4 linked regions of the Arabidopsis thaliana genome follow. The protein of the gene in region 1 interacts with the protein of each later gene in a pairwise test. Each region holds a gene or a part of one and is shown on either strand. Other genes may lie near its edges. The genes, in order: TRB2, AT1G47655, AT5G66000 and ADA2A.

Region 1 (4,327 bases):
TGCCTTTCCACTTGAAGTTGTCCGAGTAAGACTTGACCTGCAGTTAGATGTTAGATGATGAACAATCATGGGGTTAGGTTAAAACTTCAATCTAAAGAATGTTCTACCAAATAAATCAAAGGAATGAAAGAGACTATCGCTCGTCAAACTAGTAGCTAAATCTTAAACTAGAGGCACCAAACCATTTCTGATGAAGCAATATGAGTTAAGTTAAAGAATATCCTATCTATTTAACACAACATTCAAGGGTCGTTCCAGTGAATCTCCAGCTTTAGGGTTAAACACCTCATATGAGTAGAGCTCGTAAGTCATAATGCGGCATTAGCAAAAAGATAGTTACTAACCTTCAATAATGGTGTGTTGGGCTTCTTGACCTGCAATGATTTAGATGTAAGTTTTTCAGTACTCTGAATTCTATATTAAGGGATCTTAAAACAGAACCATCACAATGGTGATCGAAAAAAAAAAAAAACAGAACCATCACATTCTCATAAAATGTGAGTGAATGCGACCAGAAAAAAAAATGAGCTAAAAACGAAGAAGGAAACAACGTACCTTATAATCCCAACCATGACGCTCAGCAAAAGACTTAGCAGCTTCTTCAGAATCAAAAGCAAGAGCAGAGTCACCAACATTAGCATAGGGGTCACCTGTAGAAGTCCATCCCATCAACGGATTCTCCCACCTAGAAACATATGAATGCCATAGATAAGTGATGTCAATCGAAATCTAATCAACAAGTGATGGACTAGTACTAGTCACAAGCAGAAGACTTAAGTTTTGAAAAGATAGGAATTTTAAGGATAAGAATCATATTAGGACATAAAATGTGAGGAAAAGAGGATTATCTTAATCAAAAAGTAGCATACTTTAAGGTGGAGACGAAGTTAATCTTCCATTTTCCGAGTTTTCCAGATCCTGACTGGGTAGCTGTTCTAGCAGGTGAGTATATTATCACCTGTTAATTTCCAAATTCAATACTCTTAGCACTATTCGATTGACCAAAATCAAATCAAGAACACGATGTAGCTCAATTAAGACGATTCTCTGATCACGAACCCTAATTTTCTAAACTGAATTCGTAAGAAATCGAATGCTTATTTACCTTGCGAGAAAGATGCTCCTCTGGGATTCCGGAGACCTTACCGATCTCACCACGCTTGTAATCCGACTCAACCACCGCGTCAGTAGCGAAAGGTCGAGCAACACGCCGGAGCGTCGCCGCTATACGGATAGTCCTTTGAGTAGTAGCACAAAGCGCCATCGTCAATTAGAGAAATCTGGAAAATTGCTGAGCTTTTTGATTTCGCTTTGGTTTCTTCTACTTCTGTAGATTTTAGAAAGAAAAAAAAAACACATATTTCAATCTAGCCATCAAAATTTTATAAATTACGCTTTCGGTCTTACTATTATATGAAAAATCTTTAATAGCCCCTAAACTATCTGTGAGATTTAACAACGATAAATTTTATAGATACATTATTTTTAAAAAATAGTACTAGTATATTTTATTCAGCTTGATCCTATTCATTTAGTTGGTAGGTTTTATTGTGTAATTTGATAAACTTGAGGCAAATTTGTGAATGTGGAGAAATATAGGGTTACATCTTCCTTAGCTTGAATACAAAAGAAAAGCTCAAGTTTGTTTCTCGTTTCTATGGATATTCTTCTTCCTTATGCTAGCCTCTCTGGTCTTCTTCTTCTTCGTTCGTTTCAGCGAATCACATTTGATCTATGACACATCTATACAAGGAATTAGCTTTCATCATCAAGTCTCTCTCTCGAAAACTCTCCTTTGGTTTCGTTTGATCTGGCATGCTTCTTCTCCTCCTTCCTCCTTTCTGCTTCCTTCTCTGAATTTTCCATTTTTGTTTTTAATTTTCTACGATCGCCCCATTTGAATTTGGTTGATAATTTAGCTATCGCTTTAGATTGATGGCTGTATTTCCAAATTCCTGTTGATTTGCGACGTTGTTAATGGGCTTTGATCCTCTTTTTTTGGTTCGAGATTGCTCGAATCACTCATTTTTTTGTTGAATTGAGCTTTGGGGCGTATCTAATTTCTTTGGATTTGTGTAGTTACATTTTTATGTTGTGGCTTTGTGTATCTGCTGGATTTAGATGACCAAAATTTTGTATTGGATAAGAAATGTTCAACAATGGCTTTGATGTGGTTAAGTTTCGTACGATTTAACAGATTCTAATGTTAGCGTTCACATCTATTGGCAGAGAAAAGAAGAAATTCAAATATTGATAACTGTGGATGGGTGCACCAAAGCAGAAGTGGACACCGGAAGAAGAAGCAGCTCTTAAAGCTGGAGTTCTTAAGCATGGGACTGGGAAGTGGCGTACCATACTCTCGGATACTGAGTTTAGTTTAATCCTTAAGTCTCGCTCTAATGTTGATCTTAAGGTAATACAATATAATATGCTTTTTGGAGGTTGTGATCGCGTGTTTCGGACTAATCTTGATAGTTCAAGGCATAACAGGACAAATGGAGAAATATAAGCGTGACAGCTTTATGGGGTTCAAGGAAGAAGGCTAAACTTGCGCTTAAGAGGACTCCACCAGGTACTAAACAGGATGATAACAACACAGCTCTTACCATTGTGGCTTTGACTAATGATGATGAACGTGCAAAACCAACTTCCCCCGGAGGTTCTGGTGGTGGATCACCACGCACTTGTGCTTCTAAGAGATCAATTACAAGGTTTGGTTCCCTGACTTATGCACCACATAACGATTTTCTTGAGTTCATAAAGATTTGATCTTGCGCTATTGTCTGTTTTTGTAGTTTGGATAAGATCATCTTTGAGGCAATTACCAACTTGAGGGAACTACGCGGTTCTGACAGAACATCAATCTTTCTGTATATAGAGGTATTTCTACCATTGGGATTACATGTTTGGTTGGGGTTTGTTGCATACTTACTTAGTAGCTGTTAAATTTCAGGAGAATTTCAAGACTCCACCGAATATGAAAAGGCATGTCGCAGTACGATTAAAGCATTTATCATCGAATGGAACATTAGTTAAGGTAAACACACAACTTTTGATTCAAGATTCATGATCACTAACACTTCATTACTCTCAGAATTTTCAAAAATACTTACTTGGTGATTTCTCACTTTCAGATAAAGCACAAGTACAGGTTTTCTTCTAATTTTATTCCCGCAGGTGCAAGACAGAAGGCTCCTCAACTCTTTCTGGAAGGAAACAACAAGAAAGACCCAACAAAACCCGAGGAGAACGGTGCCAACAGTCTCACTAAATTCCGAGTAGACGGTGAATTATATATGATAAAAGGCATGACAGCTCAAGAAGCTGCAGAGGCTGCAGCAAGAGCAGTTGCAGAGGCAGAATTTGCTATCACAGAGGCTGAACAAGCAGCAAAAGAGGCAGAAAGAGCAGAAGCAGAAGCTGAAGCTGCTCAGATATTTGCAAAGGCAGCCATGAAAGCTTTGAAGTTCAGGATCCGTAATCATCCTTGGTGAAACAGAAAGAAATAGCCATCATGGGGAAGTTCTGTAACAAAGCAAGCCATAAAATATATATACTTAGTGGGTTTACTGGTTTCTTAAGAGTGCCGATCTTGAATCAGGCGATATCTCATCACCTGCAGAGTTTTTTAAGTTTCCAAACCTATCTGCTCTCTTTTTTTGGTTAGTAACAGTGTAAATCCGCAGTTTGATCATATGTATGTTCTTTCTCCGAATCTGAGATTCTGTATAACTGATCTTTTATTGTATGTGGATGATCTGTTTAGTAACCTTGAAACTATTTTGAAGTGAGATGAGTAAGCAAAAAAATTGAGATTTTGTTCTACTAAAGATTTTGAGGAAATTTACAAGCATTTTCATTCTTTCTTACTACTCTCTTCCCATTCTTTCAGAATGTCATAAACTGAAAGTGAATCAGAGTCGCTAGATTCTTCATCATCATCAATCTCGAGTTCTTCTAGACCCAACGTTTCGAGTTCAGTCTCTGTAAATTCCCAAGCTTCACCATTAGCACTATTATCATCTTCCATTGTTGTATCTTGCAGAAGCAAATCTTCCTCCGGTTTTTCGCCCTGACTTTGAGTTGTTACATCTACGGCTAACAATGGTTGTGCTGAAGAAGAAGAAGACCCACATCGAGATTTCAATGACTTTGAGAGGTTTGAGACCGTTGGTTCACTTACATAATCACACTCAATGAGATGATCCGAGAGCTTATGAAGATTATCTTGAGTAAGCCAGTCTTGATGCTCCTCAAAAAGATCAGTCCATTCTTCTTCACTAATCTGGAAAGATGCGAGAGCCACAGTGTTAATCAGTGTGATAGC
Region 2 (3,199 bases), on another chromosome or scaffold:
TTTTCTTGCTTTGACCACAATAGGAGACTACACAACAATATCTATTAGCTATATTCCCTACATTCAAATTTTATTTGAACGTTTAACCAAGTACACTCTAGCTGAGATGTTTGACACAAGGATTAAACCTAAAGATTTTTACAAAAAAATAACACTAGCTGATAAGTACACCATAATCTACATTAACCCTAAGAATTTCTAATCCATTGATCGAATGAAAGGTTTTAGTTCTTAGCATTCATATGAATTGTCTCATATGCTAAACACTAGACTCACATGACTTTGATATACAAAATCTTCTACACTGCAAATGAACAATGTTGTTGTTGATGTTTATCTATAATACAAACAAAATTAAGTTCAACGCAATTTCCTCATTTCAAAGATGTAGCAACAGAGCATCTCTTACTCACTTCTGCAACAGTACTTATGTACTTTTTCCCTTTTTGGACTTTTATGCTCAATTCATCTTTCTACATTTGACTATTCCTTTCAAAATATTAACCAACCAAAATAAAAAGAAAGAAACGTTTTTACTTTTTACTTGTAAATCCATTCCAATATGTTCGTCACATAAACAGAGGATTTATACACCAGAATTGTTGGACCTCAAAAACTAAAATAAATAAAAACATTTTTGCTTCAATTTGGTTTCTTTTGCTCTTCTTTCTAGGAAAAAAAAGAAAACAAACAGAAATTTCCAAAAAGACACCAACAAAAGAAGACAAAGGCAAGAAATCAGAAACGGTTTCATTTTCACTTAACATCGTTGGTTTGCATTGAGATCTCAAGACCAGGCCATATCAAACTGTCTCCTCCACTTTTACCTTCAATCTCCCCAATCTGCCACGTGTCACCACCACAACCATCAACCACCGGAATCTCTCCTACGGAAGAATCTCCAAGATACCCAATACTCATCTCCTCAAGCCCGTACCCGTACCCAAACCCGTAATCCAACCCACCATTTCCACTTCCTAAACCTAACAGAGAAGCAAAGCTTCCATGACCTGAAATTAAATTAGTAACCTTAGTTTGACTCGCTTCAGTCGTGGCTGGTTCTTGTGTCGTGGTGGTGATGACGGAAGAAGAGGAGGAAGAGGAGGTGGCAGTGGTGGAGAAAGAACGGTGACGTTTTGAGGAGCTTCGACGAGTTCCACCACCGACGGGGACGTCACGGAGTGTACCACCTTGAGTCCAGTAACGGCGGCAAGATTTGCAGTAGTAGCGAGGCTGAGCGAGGTTATAGTTGTTGTAGTAACAGAACTTGGTGGTGGTGGAGTTGCAGCGAGGACAAGGAAGAGGCTCAGCCAGATTTGGCGGTGGGTAAGCCGCCGTTGAGGGCTGAACTCTGGTGGGTCGGGTTTGGTTTGGTTCCGACGGCATATTAAGTTGAGAGTATGAGAAAACGAGAGAGAAGTTAATGGAGAGAAGAGAGAAGAGAGAAAGCGAAAGAGAAGGGGATGTTGTGAGAGTGGTGATGTGGTTTTTATATAGAGGCTTTTAGACGTTTTTTTCAGTTGCCTTTTATTTATTAATTGATACATATGAATTTAATTTATTTTCCCCTTCTAAAAATAATTTAATTCATATTTAGTTTTTTTTAAAAATAATTTCTTCTATATTAAATTTAACTAAAAAATGGTTAAAATATGAGAGTGGATTTAAAAATAGTATTTACTTCGTTAAAATGAATTATTAGCGGAATAGAGATGAGAGAAAAGTTTGTTGAAGATATTATGAAGCCTTTTCTCATTAATTGTAAAATGATTCTGTACAAATGTCTTATATACTTTACACTATACAATGGTTCTACTAAACCAACTAATACCAACTAAACCAATATACATATCTGATATGCCCCCTCAAGATGTGCATGAAAAGATATTAAGAATGCTCATCTTGGATTTAAGGTGTTCGAATTGATGGGGAAATAACGGATTAGTAAGAATGTCCGCTACTTGGTCTTCAGTTCGCACATGAAGCAACTTCAGCTCGCCATTGTCTAGTTTCTCCCTAACCGTGTGACAATCTAGCTCTATATGCTTCGTTCTTTCATGGAACACAGGATTTGTGGCGATGTAAATAGCAGTTGTGCTATCAGAATATAACACAGGAACCAAGTAGCTAGCTTTTAAAGACATGAGCAAAGTGTGAAGCCATACCAGTTCACACGTAACCAGTGCTAAGGCACGGTACTCAGCCTCTGCAGAAGATCTGGAAACCACATGCTGTTTCTTGGAACGCCAAGATATCAATGAATCACCCACAAACATGCTGAATCCAGTTGTTGATCTCCTACTATCTGGACAGGAAGCCCAATCTGAATCTGCAAAACCTTTAAGAGTAAGATCTGCAGATGCAGAATAGAACAGACCTTGGCCAACACTGCCTTTGATATATTGTAAAACTCGATAAGCAGCTTGAAGATGAGACGTCCTAGGAGCAGAGGAAAACTGACATAACTTGTTAACTGCAAAGGTGATGTCAAGTCTAGTAATTGTCAAATACATCAGCTTTCCTACAATACGACGGTATTGTTCTCTATCATCCAACAAATCACCATCAGTCTTCATCATCTTCACATTCGGGATCATGGGAACTGAAACAGGTTTACAGTTAACCATACCAGTAGATGCTAATAACTCAAGAGCATACTTTCTCTGGCAGATAGAAATACCAGCTTCAGTTCTAGCAATCTCAAGACCCAAAAAATATTTCAAATCCCCAAGATCTCTTAACTTGAATCGCTGTTGTAAATCCTGAGTCAATTGTATTGCAGCACCTTCACTTGTACTCGCAATAGCAATATCATCAACATAAACCAAAACAATCACAAATTCTCCATCATACTCTTTAATAAACAAAGTATGATCACCATGTGTCTTCTTAAAACCCAAATCAAGTAATGAAGCAGAAAACTTCTTAAACCACTGACGAGAGGCCTGTTTCAAACCATAAATGGATCTCTTCAATCGACAGACTGAATTAGGAGGTAGAGTGATACCTTTCCTTGCCGCATAACCTTCAGGTAACTTCATGTAAATCTCTTCCTCTAACTCACCATTCAAGAAAGCATTAGACACATCAAGCTGTTTTAAGAACCATTTCTTAGAGGCAGAAATCTTCAATAACAACTTGATTGTAGTCATCTTTGCCACTGGAGAGAAAGTATCTGTATAGTCTAGACCTTCTTTCT
Region 3 (3,223 bases), 560 kb from region 1:
GAAAATGGCAGGCACCGGGAAATGCCTTCTTGTCACCGGCCCTCCTGTGAGCTTGCTTATCTTCCTGCTTTCCTCTCATCGCCTTTTACAGTTTCTCATTGTTGGATTTCAATACTTTTTGGGCAGGGTGTCGGAAAAACCACATTGATCATGAGAGTGTTGGATATGATGAGGGTTTCCAACCCTAACTTAAAAATCCAGGGTTTCTACACTCGTAAGTAAGCTCTCTCTCTCTTCCTCTTTCTAAACACCAATCAGTCATCAAGTCTTCTTCTTTTTTATGATACCGTTAGTTATAACTAACACACAGAAGAGATGAGGGAACGAGGACAAAGGGTTGGTTTTCAAGTGGTCACTTTGGATGGCCGCACAAGTTTGCTTGCTTCTTCTATTGTTTCTAGGTCCATCCTCCTTCTCCTTCTTCACCCTTAAATCTCTAGTTTCCCTCTCACAGATAATTAGGCTACTTGTTTCTCTCTGTTGGCAGTCAAGAATCGATGACATGGCCTAGTGTTGGCAAGTACAAAGTGGACATTGCATCCTTCGAGTCTATAGCCTTGCCTGAGCTACAGGTGTTCTGTCAGCTCATCATTTCCTTGATAATTTGGATAGATGAACACTGACTGACTGGTTTAGCATTGGTTTTCAAGGTCAAAGACGATACCAATCTTTTCATCATTGATGAAGTTGGCAAGATGGAGATGTTTAGTCCATCCTTTTTTCCGGCTGTCCTCAATGTTTTGGACTCCAACGTTCCTCTTCTTGCTTCCATTCCTAGCCCAAAATTTGGTCGACATCTTCCTGAAGGTAATTCATTATCTGGAATCAAACATAATTATTGAGGAATCAGAGCTCGGTTTCATCTGTTAACTAGATTCGTTTTCAGCCTGTAGTTGTTTCCAATCCTGATGCCAATGATAACCGTGCGTGCTGCTTAAATTGAAATTTATGAAAGTGCCTTCACATCTATATACTGTTTGGAACACTTTTCCAACTCTTGAGTAGTCAATTGTGCTATGGTCCACTTTGATGTACTCTTGTATTGGCTTTATGTGTCACCCTCCTCTGTTGGCAGTCTAGATAAGCTGCATAGAGTTCACTAATCTATTTTCCTTAACAAAGTTTACTTTCTTCTTTGTTGTCTGCAGTGGCAAGGTTGAAGAACCAACCGGGAGTGAATGTAATCTCCCTGAGTGCGACTAACAGAGATCCCATGAAAGAACATATCTTTGATGTTTTCTCTGGTTGGCTGCCCAAGCAATAGGGTTTCCCAGCCTGTCAAAAGACATCTCTTTCCCTATCAACCTCTAAAATGTAATCCACTGTTTCATTTCAAAACATGTTTAGGCTAAAAGCACAAAGATTTTTGGAAAAAAAAACTTACATAAATTATGCATGTTTTGTTGTCTTTCTACATTAAAACATCTTCATTATCTAAATAAAAAGGAATTCAACTAATTAAAAGAAAAAAAACAATTTGACAAAAGGGATAATCTGTAAGTAATTTGTGGGAGGAAGTGAAACGGAACGACGCGCACGCACTGGTAATAAAGCGAATATCCGAACAGAACGTGCGAAGAAATTGGTGTCGGAGAAGAAGAAAGTCGTTCGCTGCTTGGGTTTTATCATCTTCGTCTCAAATTTAATTTTAATGTGTGAGTGTGTGTATAAATACACAACAAGCCTAAACGTTCATCTGTGAGTTTCAGAATTTCGACCTCCAAAACCCTAATTTTGGCGGACTTCTCTTATCTCTTTTCGCAGGCGCATTCAAGGTAAACTCTTAAGCTTACTTCATCGGTTTTCTAGAAATGCATCTTAGCGTCAGACTCCGATGTTGGCTTCTCTCTTATATCCGCGTAAGATCTGATAGGGTTTGTTTTGTAGGTTAGAGAGATTTGTTGTATGTGTAATTATGGAAGGCGTCAATGTGCTGACAAAAGAGGTTGATGCTAATGGAGTTCCACATCCTTCCACCAATGTTGATTACCATCTTAGCATTCTTTTAGCTTCTCATTTGAGTAATCCAGATCTCACCCCTCAGGAGATTGCAGATGCTTCGAGATGTACTGCTGCCGCTGCTGCTATTGCTGCTAAGGCCGCCAGAGCTACTGCAGATGAGAAAGCCGCTGCTGCAGCAAAAGCCGTTGCTGCTGCTAAGACCGCTTTAGATTTGATTGCCTCCTTTCCTCCTAACCAGGGACTCGTACAAGACGCATGTCTCCACAAGGACAAGAAGATGAAGAAGAAGCATGTTGCTGCTGACTTGTTGTTTTCCAAGGATGATGCATTACCCTCCAAGTTGCAACTTGGAGGCGTCGTCAGTCAGGGCATAGTTTCAAACTCTTCTTCGAGTTGTCAACATAAGAACGACGACCAGTGTGCGGTTCCCACATGCTCAAGAGAGAGGCTGAATACAGAGCATGCCGTTTCCAAGAGGGTGGAATTCGATGGCCTTGGCATGGAGTTAGATACCGATAGACTGAACGAATCTGTTAATGGAGAAGGAGCAAAAGAAGAGATTCAGGTGACTAGAAAAAGAGGGAGGCCAAAGTCCAAATGATTTGGCTTCTGCAGTTTTGATTTAGTCTCTTTGTTGCGAATAGCCGCAAATGGTGTTTATCAAACTTGATTCTAAGAGTATTTTTCTTATTGGTTTTCCATGGTGCGTCTTTCTTACAAATAGAGTAATAAGACTCAAATAAACAAGTGAGGAGAGTAACAGAATAACAATAATAATGCCGTGTTCGCTGGAGGTAACAATGCTTCTCTTTTCATACTGACAAAAATAAACAATGGAAGAAGCTCAGGCCTTGGATGTCAGGATCTCATGTACTGCAGTCCAGGTCCCGGTAATGGCTATCATAACACCAATGAGGAAAACGAGAACGTCTACCACTATTCTTGTGATGCTCAACTCGTTTTTGAAAGCCTGCAAGTGAAATAGTGATGGCAAGACAAAGCCCAGCACCACGCAGACGCTGCTCCCCACCAGAGATAAGAAGTCTGCAAAATTTGGGACGAGCAGGGCCACGAGCGTGACCACCAGCACAGTGGCCCAGCGCACCCATACAGAGTAACGGGAGCTGCAAAGGCGGCGTTCCACGACCTCGTAGACAGGTTGCATCATAAGGGGGAATGTGAAGAAGAGGTTGATTGCTAAGCCCAGCTGCACCAGAGTGCTCACCACTCCTGTCCCCAGGTTGGTGGTGATGATGTCTTT
Region 4 (5,807 bases), on another chromosome or scaffold:
TGACGCTTGGGTCTAAGCCAGACCCGCTTCGTTTGGTTAACCCACATATATGGCCTGTCCGATTCACAGATATAGATACAGCTGAGCTCATCTGAGACTCCTCTTCTGCTGTTGCATCAACTATGTAATGCGTTCCCACCTGCAAAAACCAAGGACAGCATGGTAAAAGATTAGCGAAATGTACATAAGAAGATGTCGATGTGAATCAAGAAAAGTGAGATTCGATTACTTTTGTTAACGTGACTATGACCGGGACACTGGAAGTGTCAAATTGAAGATATTCCTCGTCGCTGATGTCAATCTCTGGTTGCTCATCATCTGCTACTTCAGCTGAAACATTGACTTTTGGGATGGCCGTGTTGGTTAAAGCAGCCTGCAGGAGTATAGTCAACAAGTGCATTAAAGCATGTGATCAGCCTTGAGGAAAGATGACTTTTGGGTTGCTTAAACTATCAATTGGAAACATATCGTAAAGCTACTAAAACCAATAACAAGACAACTACATTGAGCTAATCTATATACACTTAACTAAAGACCCATTCCCTTTCGTTTCCTATATTCTCTGGCCTTTCCTTTCTCATGATTCTGATTGATGGGTATGATTTACTCACTAACATTCGTAACTAAAACCTGAGACTAAGGGTTAAGAGAGAAAACCAAACACACATCACAAGAATTACCTTAATGGCAGCACCCAGGGCATCCAATAGATTCCCATCCGAACTAATGACAAGACCATCAATATAAAGGTCCCAGCAAACTTTTCCTTCTTTGATTAAAAGCGAAGATAAATTTATTCCAGCTCCTGGTACCAAAACATGAATTGCTATAAACGTTACAAACAGAAAGCGTAACAGTGTGCAGGTAAAAAAAAGCATTGCATAAACATGATTGCAGACCTGCTCCACTTTTGCCACCCAGAAGACATCTTTGAAGAGCCAAAGCAAGCTCAGAAGACAATTCCTCACCTCCTCTCCCCTAAGTAACAACATATCACAAAGAATTAGCCGCCTAAAGACTTAACACAGTAGAATTTAGGAGATTCTGAAGAAAAGTAATGATAACCAAAATCTCATGTTGAACAATTCCACTAGTAAGAGAAACACCAATAGAACGATAGAACGGGTGTGACAAGTGCTAGATAGAACCAAAACCAAACGAAATAAAAGAAAAGCTCACCCCAAATGTCGGTTCAGCTGTTGGACTGCAATCAATGAAAACTGCAACCTTTCCTTTATCGGGTTGAAGTGAACTTGGCCTCCCAATTTCAGCCTGCAATTACACAAGATTACTGGGTAACATCTACAATAGCACTTCCCATTCAACAATAGAACAGTAGCAGAGAGAACAAAGGAAGTACCTTTACACTAGCAATCACATCGGTTCCACCAATTCTAACTCTCGCTGAACCATTAGCCTAGAGCCAACAAAAACAAGAGAAAGAACATATCTGTTAAACAACTGGGAAGCAACAATGAGAAGCGGACGAGCTCTAGGAGATTACACTACCTGCGGAATAACACCGGTTTCGACGTAGATAGGACGGTAAGTCAATCTTTTCCGACCATCAGTTCGAAGATCTTGAGCAATCCCACCTTTAATGAAATGTTGTTCCCCAAGAGAAAGCCCCATCACTAATACTACACAGAGAACGAATTAGATCAACTGCTGAGGAATTTCTACCGGAATGACAAACTTCAAGGTTCACGGATTGGTGCTAGGGTTTAAGAGACAGCTCAAACAAAGTACACATCTTTATACAGCACAATCAAAACCCACTAATCTTCTTTACCTTCCCGGAGAATTCAATAGAAGACACAACTCTGAAGTTTTCCGGTGACCCTAGCGGCAACTTTGGATTGGTTAGGTTAAGAGAGAGACGTGACCACTGACAACTGCCGTAGGGTTTAAAGATGGCGTGAACATAATTATTGACACTTGTTAAGGGTAATTTAGTCATTTACCGACTTACCATTTTTTCACTGCTTTTTAGCGTTTTCTCGCTCTTCTGGTTTTTTCTTCAATCTGCCGGGAAGAAGTGCGAGCTTGGTGCCGATGGGTCGTTCGAAACTAGCTTCTCGTCCTGCTGAGGAAGACCTGAATCCAGGGTTCGTTTAAAGTTTCGTTCTTTGTCCATCTTAGCTCGAAGTCTTCTAGGGTTTTCTCTGTTCAATTACTTACTTGTCTTTGCGAAAACATTTCAATATCTGGTAATCCACTTAGCTGTGTTTGATTATCTGAATCGGAGTTCTTTTGGTACTTGTGGGTGGCTCTTGATTTCATACTGCTGTCGTCTCTTGTCTTTATCCTAATTTTGATGATTTTGGCTGTTTCAGAAAATCAAAAAGGAAAAAGATATCATTGGGTCCTGAGAATGCTGCGGCATCAATTTCCACCGGTAGGTTTCCGTTTACTTGTGCAATTAGGTGTGATACTGATAGGACTAAAGTTTCTGCTGTGGATAGATATGCATTGATGTATCATGTACCAAGCTGCGTTTTCCAAAAGTTCTTACATGTACCAATACATTGTAGGAATTGAAGCTGGGAATGAGAGGAAACCTGGCCTTTACTGTTGTAACTATTGCGATAAAGATCTGTCTGGTTTGGTTCGTTTCAAATGTGCTGTTTGTATGGACTTTGATCTTTGTGTGGAATGCTTTTCTGTCGGCGTTGAACTTAATCGTCACAAGAACAGTCACCCATATCGTGTTATGGTTAGTTTCCAACGCCGAGCAGTATATTTGAATTCAATTCAACGCTTTGTCAGCTGAAAAGTAATTAGATTAGTGATTGTGTTTAAAACAAAGAAAATGTTCTATGGTTGTATTTTTGTTTGTATTGAATCTACCCTTTTGTTTGACAGGACAATTTGTCTTTTTCGCTTGTTACTTCTGATTGGAATGCCGATGAAGAGATACTCCTTCTTGAGGTAATCATTAATCGTTTCTGATTGTACACTCCCATGTCTATATAGAGATTCCATCTGACTATTGGGAAGTAAATTGACTGTGTTAGGCCATTGCGACATACGGGTTTGGCAATTGGAAAGAAGTTGCAGACCATGTTGGTAGTAAGACAACGACAGAATGTATTAAACACTTCAATTCTGCTTACATGCAGTCACCATGCTTTCCACTTCCGGTAAGGACTGATGAAAACACATGATCGTCAGATAGTTGAACCTAGCTTGTTTATTTACTCTAGCTCCCCGCTCTGTAGGACTTGTCCCATACTATTGGAAAGAGCAAAGATGAGCTGCTTGCTATGAGTAAAGATAGTGCAGTCAAAACAGGTCAGCTTTAAAATCTATTAGCGGGGTTTCTTGTTGATTTGGGACTCGTATATTAACCTTGACTGAAAAAAGGAGGATGCTGAGCTCTGTTTACTATTTGTCACAGAAATACCTGCATTTGTGAGGCTATCTCCAAAAGAAGAGTTACCTGTGTCAGCTGAAATCAAGTATATACTTATGCTTGTAACAATAGTTTACCTACGTTTACAATGTTGAATGCACCTTTTTAAAAGTACTATTATGTTTCCATGGGCAGACACGAAGCTTCAGGGAAGGTCAATGAAATAGATCCACCTTTGTCTGCCTTAGCTGGAGGTATGTGAAAATGCTTTTATCTATATAAAATTGTAGACATTATTTGCACTTAGATTTATGGCTAAGGACGCAAATCATCCGCATTTCGTACTACGACCCCAAATATTATCTCTTCCATGATTCCATATGTAAAGTAATACTTTTTATTGTACAGTCAAGAAGAAAGGCAATGTACCGCAGGCTAAGGACATCATCAAGTTGGAAGGTTTGTTATATACTGGAACAAGTTTTTATGCAAAGTGATATTTACGCGAACAAAAACTAAAGGTAGTTAACGGCCCTTGTGTCTTAGCTGCAAAACAACAATCTGACAGGAGTGTCGGGGAGAAGAAACTCAGACTTCCTGGAGAGAAAGTTCCATTAGTAACAGAGTTATATGGTTACAATCTAAAGAGGGAAGAATTTGAGATCGAACATGACAACGATGCTGAGCAACTGCTTGCTGACATGGAATTTAAGGATTCTGACACAGATGCTGAGCGTGAGCAGAAACTGCAGGTTCTTCGTATTTACTCGAAAAGGTACACTTATCACAGGAACAACCATTTTTAAACCGGAGAATTTTTTCATAAGCCAATGCTACAAGCCAAGATTGTGCCTTTGTTGGCAGGCTTGATGAGAGGAAGCGGAGGAAGGAATTTGTTCTGGAAAGAAACTTGTTGTACCCTGATCAATATGAGATGAGCCTTTCAGCAGAGGAGAGAAAAATATATAAAAGCTGTAAAGTGTTTGCGCGGTTCCAATCCAAAGAAGAGCACAAGGAACTGATTAAGAAAGTCATTGAAGAGCACCAAATTCTCAGAAGAATCGAGGATCTTCAGGTTTGATGCTTAAAATTTTACCAAGCTTGAGTACTGGATTACAAACTCAATTAGGTGGGAACATTAAGTTGAGCTTTTAATAAATGTTGCAGGAAGCTAGAACTGCTGGTTGCAGGACAACTTCAGACGCAAATAGATTTATAGAAGAGAAGAGAAAGAAGGAAGCTGAAGAAAGTATGCTGCTGCGGCTTAACCACGGTGCACCAGGCAGTATAGCCGGTAAAACACTAAAAAGTCCAAGAGGGTTACCCAGAAATTTGCATCCCTTTGGTTCTGACTCACTGCCAAAGGTCACACCTCCAAGAATATACAGCGGTTTGGACACTTGGGATGTTGATGGTCTCCTTGGAGCTGACTTACTCTCAGAGACCGTAAGAACAATAATTTTCAAACTTGATGTTTGTCATCTTATTTGTGATTTTGTTGATTTGTTGACATTATTCCTATGGTTTGAGAGATTGAAGCTGTTTTTTGTGCAGGAAAAGAAGATGTGCAATGAGACCAGAATACTGCCTGTACACTATTTGAAGATGTTGGATATCTTAACAAGAGAAATAAAGAAGGGGCAGATAAAGAAAAAGTCTGATGCTTATAGCTTCTTCAAAGTAGAGCCGAGTAAAGTAGACAGAGTATATGATATGCTGGTTCATAAGGGAATAGGTGACTCAACATGACTCATAGCTTCATGGTCCTAACATGTACTTCTCGAACATATATTAGCCATGTAAATATAAAGGAAGGTGATGCTGATTTTGGTTACACATCTTGTTCTCTGTTAGTTTCGACAACTTGACAATGTCTGATTGTTATGACCTTCAAAGGCTGTTTCAGATTTTTTGATACAACGTTTAAACTGAATATTGTAATGCCTTCACTCATCTGATTCCTTCAATTTTTGTTATATGAGATCAGAAAGTCTTGAGACATTGCATCAGTTTTCAGGAAAAACCTAAATAAAACCAGATTCTTTGGTTACAAGAAACTACACTGGATCAGATTGCCATCCAACAACAAAGAAAAAAAAAAAAACAGACAGAAATCCAAAAACTTAATCTACATGAAGCCAAAAGCTTTACCATTTCTAAGGTTGCCAACTTTGAGTCTTCTCCCAAGGCTTGAAAACACCATCATGAGAAACATATTTCAAGTAAAAGAAAAAGCCACGCAGCAACTTCAAAGCTCTTGCCTTATCAACACCAACCACAAGCTTGTATTCTTTTTCGAAATCAGGGAAACTTTCTAGATAAGATTGTCCCAGTTCGTCAGTCTCATAATCAGATCCTCTTCCCTTTCGTAGTTCTCTGCATCGAGTCATTTTTTTATGGATTGATACGTAACGATGGAGCTGCTTCATCTCTCCTTCATCATATGGATTTT

What was found.
Region 2: the proteins of TRB2 (region 1) and AT1G47655 interact in a two-hybrid assay, tested with the Arabidopsis thaliana proteins (one large-scale study listed by BioGRID).
Region 3: the proteins of TRB2 (region 1) and AT5G66000 interact in a two-hybrid assay, tested with the Arabidopsis thaliana proteins (one large-scale study listed by BioGRID).
Region 4: the proteins of TRB2 (region 1) and ADA2A interact in a two-hybrid assay, tested with the Arabidopsis thaliana proteins (one large-scale study listed by BioGRID).

Annotation. Positions count from the first base shown.
Region 1 is NC_003076.8:26,955,010-26,959,336, reverse strand, and holds TRB2 (Homeodomain-like/winged-helix DNA-binding family protein), read left to right. Parts: upstream 1-1,562; 5' UTR 1,563-1,813; intron 1,814-2,229; 5' UTR 2,230-2,263; coding exon 2,264-2,413; intron 2,414-2,490; coding exon 2,491-2,711; intron 2,712-2,795; coding exon 2,796-2,880; intron 2,881-2,953; coding exon 2,954-3,037; intron 3,038-3,134; coding exon 3,135-3,494; 3' UTR 3,495-3,769; downstream 3,770-4,327. Other genes in the region: FRO1 (NADH-ubiquinone oxidoreductase-like protein), read right to left, coding at 1-37, 345-374, 556-685, 870-958, 1,106-1,264; DG1 (Tetratricopeptide repeat (TPR)-like superfamily protein), read right to left, coding at 3,857-4,327. UniProt on the Arabidopsis thaliana protein: Binds preferentially double-stranded telomeric repeats, but it can also bind to the single G-rich telomeric strand.
Region 2 is NC_003070.9:17,523,624-17,526,822, reverse strand, and holds AT1G47655 (Dof-type zinc finger DNA-binding family protein), read right to left. Parts: upstream 1,482-3,199; 5' UTR 1,387-1,481; coding exon 757-1,386; 3' UTR 515-756; downstream 1-514. UniProt on the Arabidopsis thaliana protein: Transcription factor that binds specifically to a 5'-AA[AG]G-3' consensus core sequence.
Region 3 is NC_003076.8:26,395,905-26,399,127, reverse strand, and holds AT5G66000 (uncharacterized protein), read left to right. Parts: upstream 1-1,612; 5' UTR 1,613-1,775; intron 1,776-1,887; 5' UTR 1,888-1,915; coding exon 1,916-2,563; 3' UTR 2,564-2,661; downstream 2,662-3,223. Other genes in the region: AT5G66005 (uncharacterized protein), read left to right, coding at 5-46, 127-214, 311-401, 488-572, 651-807, 1,149-1,264; AT5G65990 (Transmembrane amino acid transporter family protein), read right to left, coding at 2,807-3,223.
Region 4 is NC_003074.8:2,469,311-2,475,117, reverse strand, and holds ADA2A (ADA2 2A), read left to right. Parts: upstream 1-2,022; 5' UTR 2,023-2,055; coding exon 2,056-2,108; exon of another isoform or gene 2,109-2,210; intron 2,211-2,336; coding exon 2,337-2,398; intron 2,399-2,481; exon of another isoform or gene 2,482-2,482; coding exon of another isoform or gene 2,483-2,534; coding exon 2,535-2,737; intron 2,738-2,865; coding exon 2,866-2,931; intron 2,932-3,017; coding exon 3,018-3,143; intron 3,144-3,221; coding exon 3,222-3,294; intron 3,295-3,400; coding exon 3,401-3,461; intron 3,462-3,550; coding exon 3,551-3,609; intron 3,610-3,763; coding exon 3,764-3,814; intron 3,815-3,901; coding exon 3,902-4,130; intron 4,131-4,219; coding exon 4,220-4,430; intron 4,431-4,522; coding exon 4,523-4,801; intron 4,802-4,909; coding exon 4,910-5,104; 3' UTR 5,105-5,287; downstream 5,288-5,807. Other genes in the region: AT3G07750 (3'-5'-exoribonuclease family protein), read right to left, coding at 1-139, 230-373, 681-805, 900-978, 1,180-1,272, 1,361-1,417, 1,510-1,632; AT3G07730 (uncharacterized protein), read right to left, coding at 5,512-5,807. UniProt on the Arabidopsis thaliana protein: Required for the function of some acidic activation domains, which activate transcription from a distant site. The exact mechanism of action is not yet known.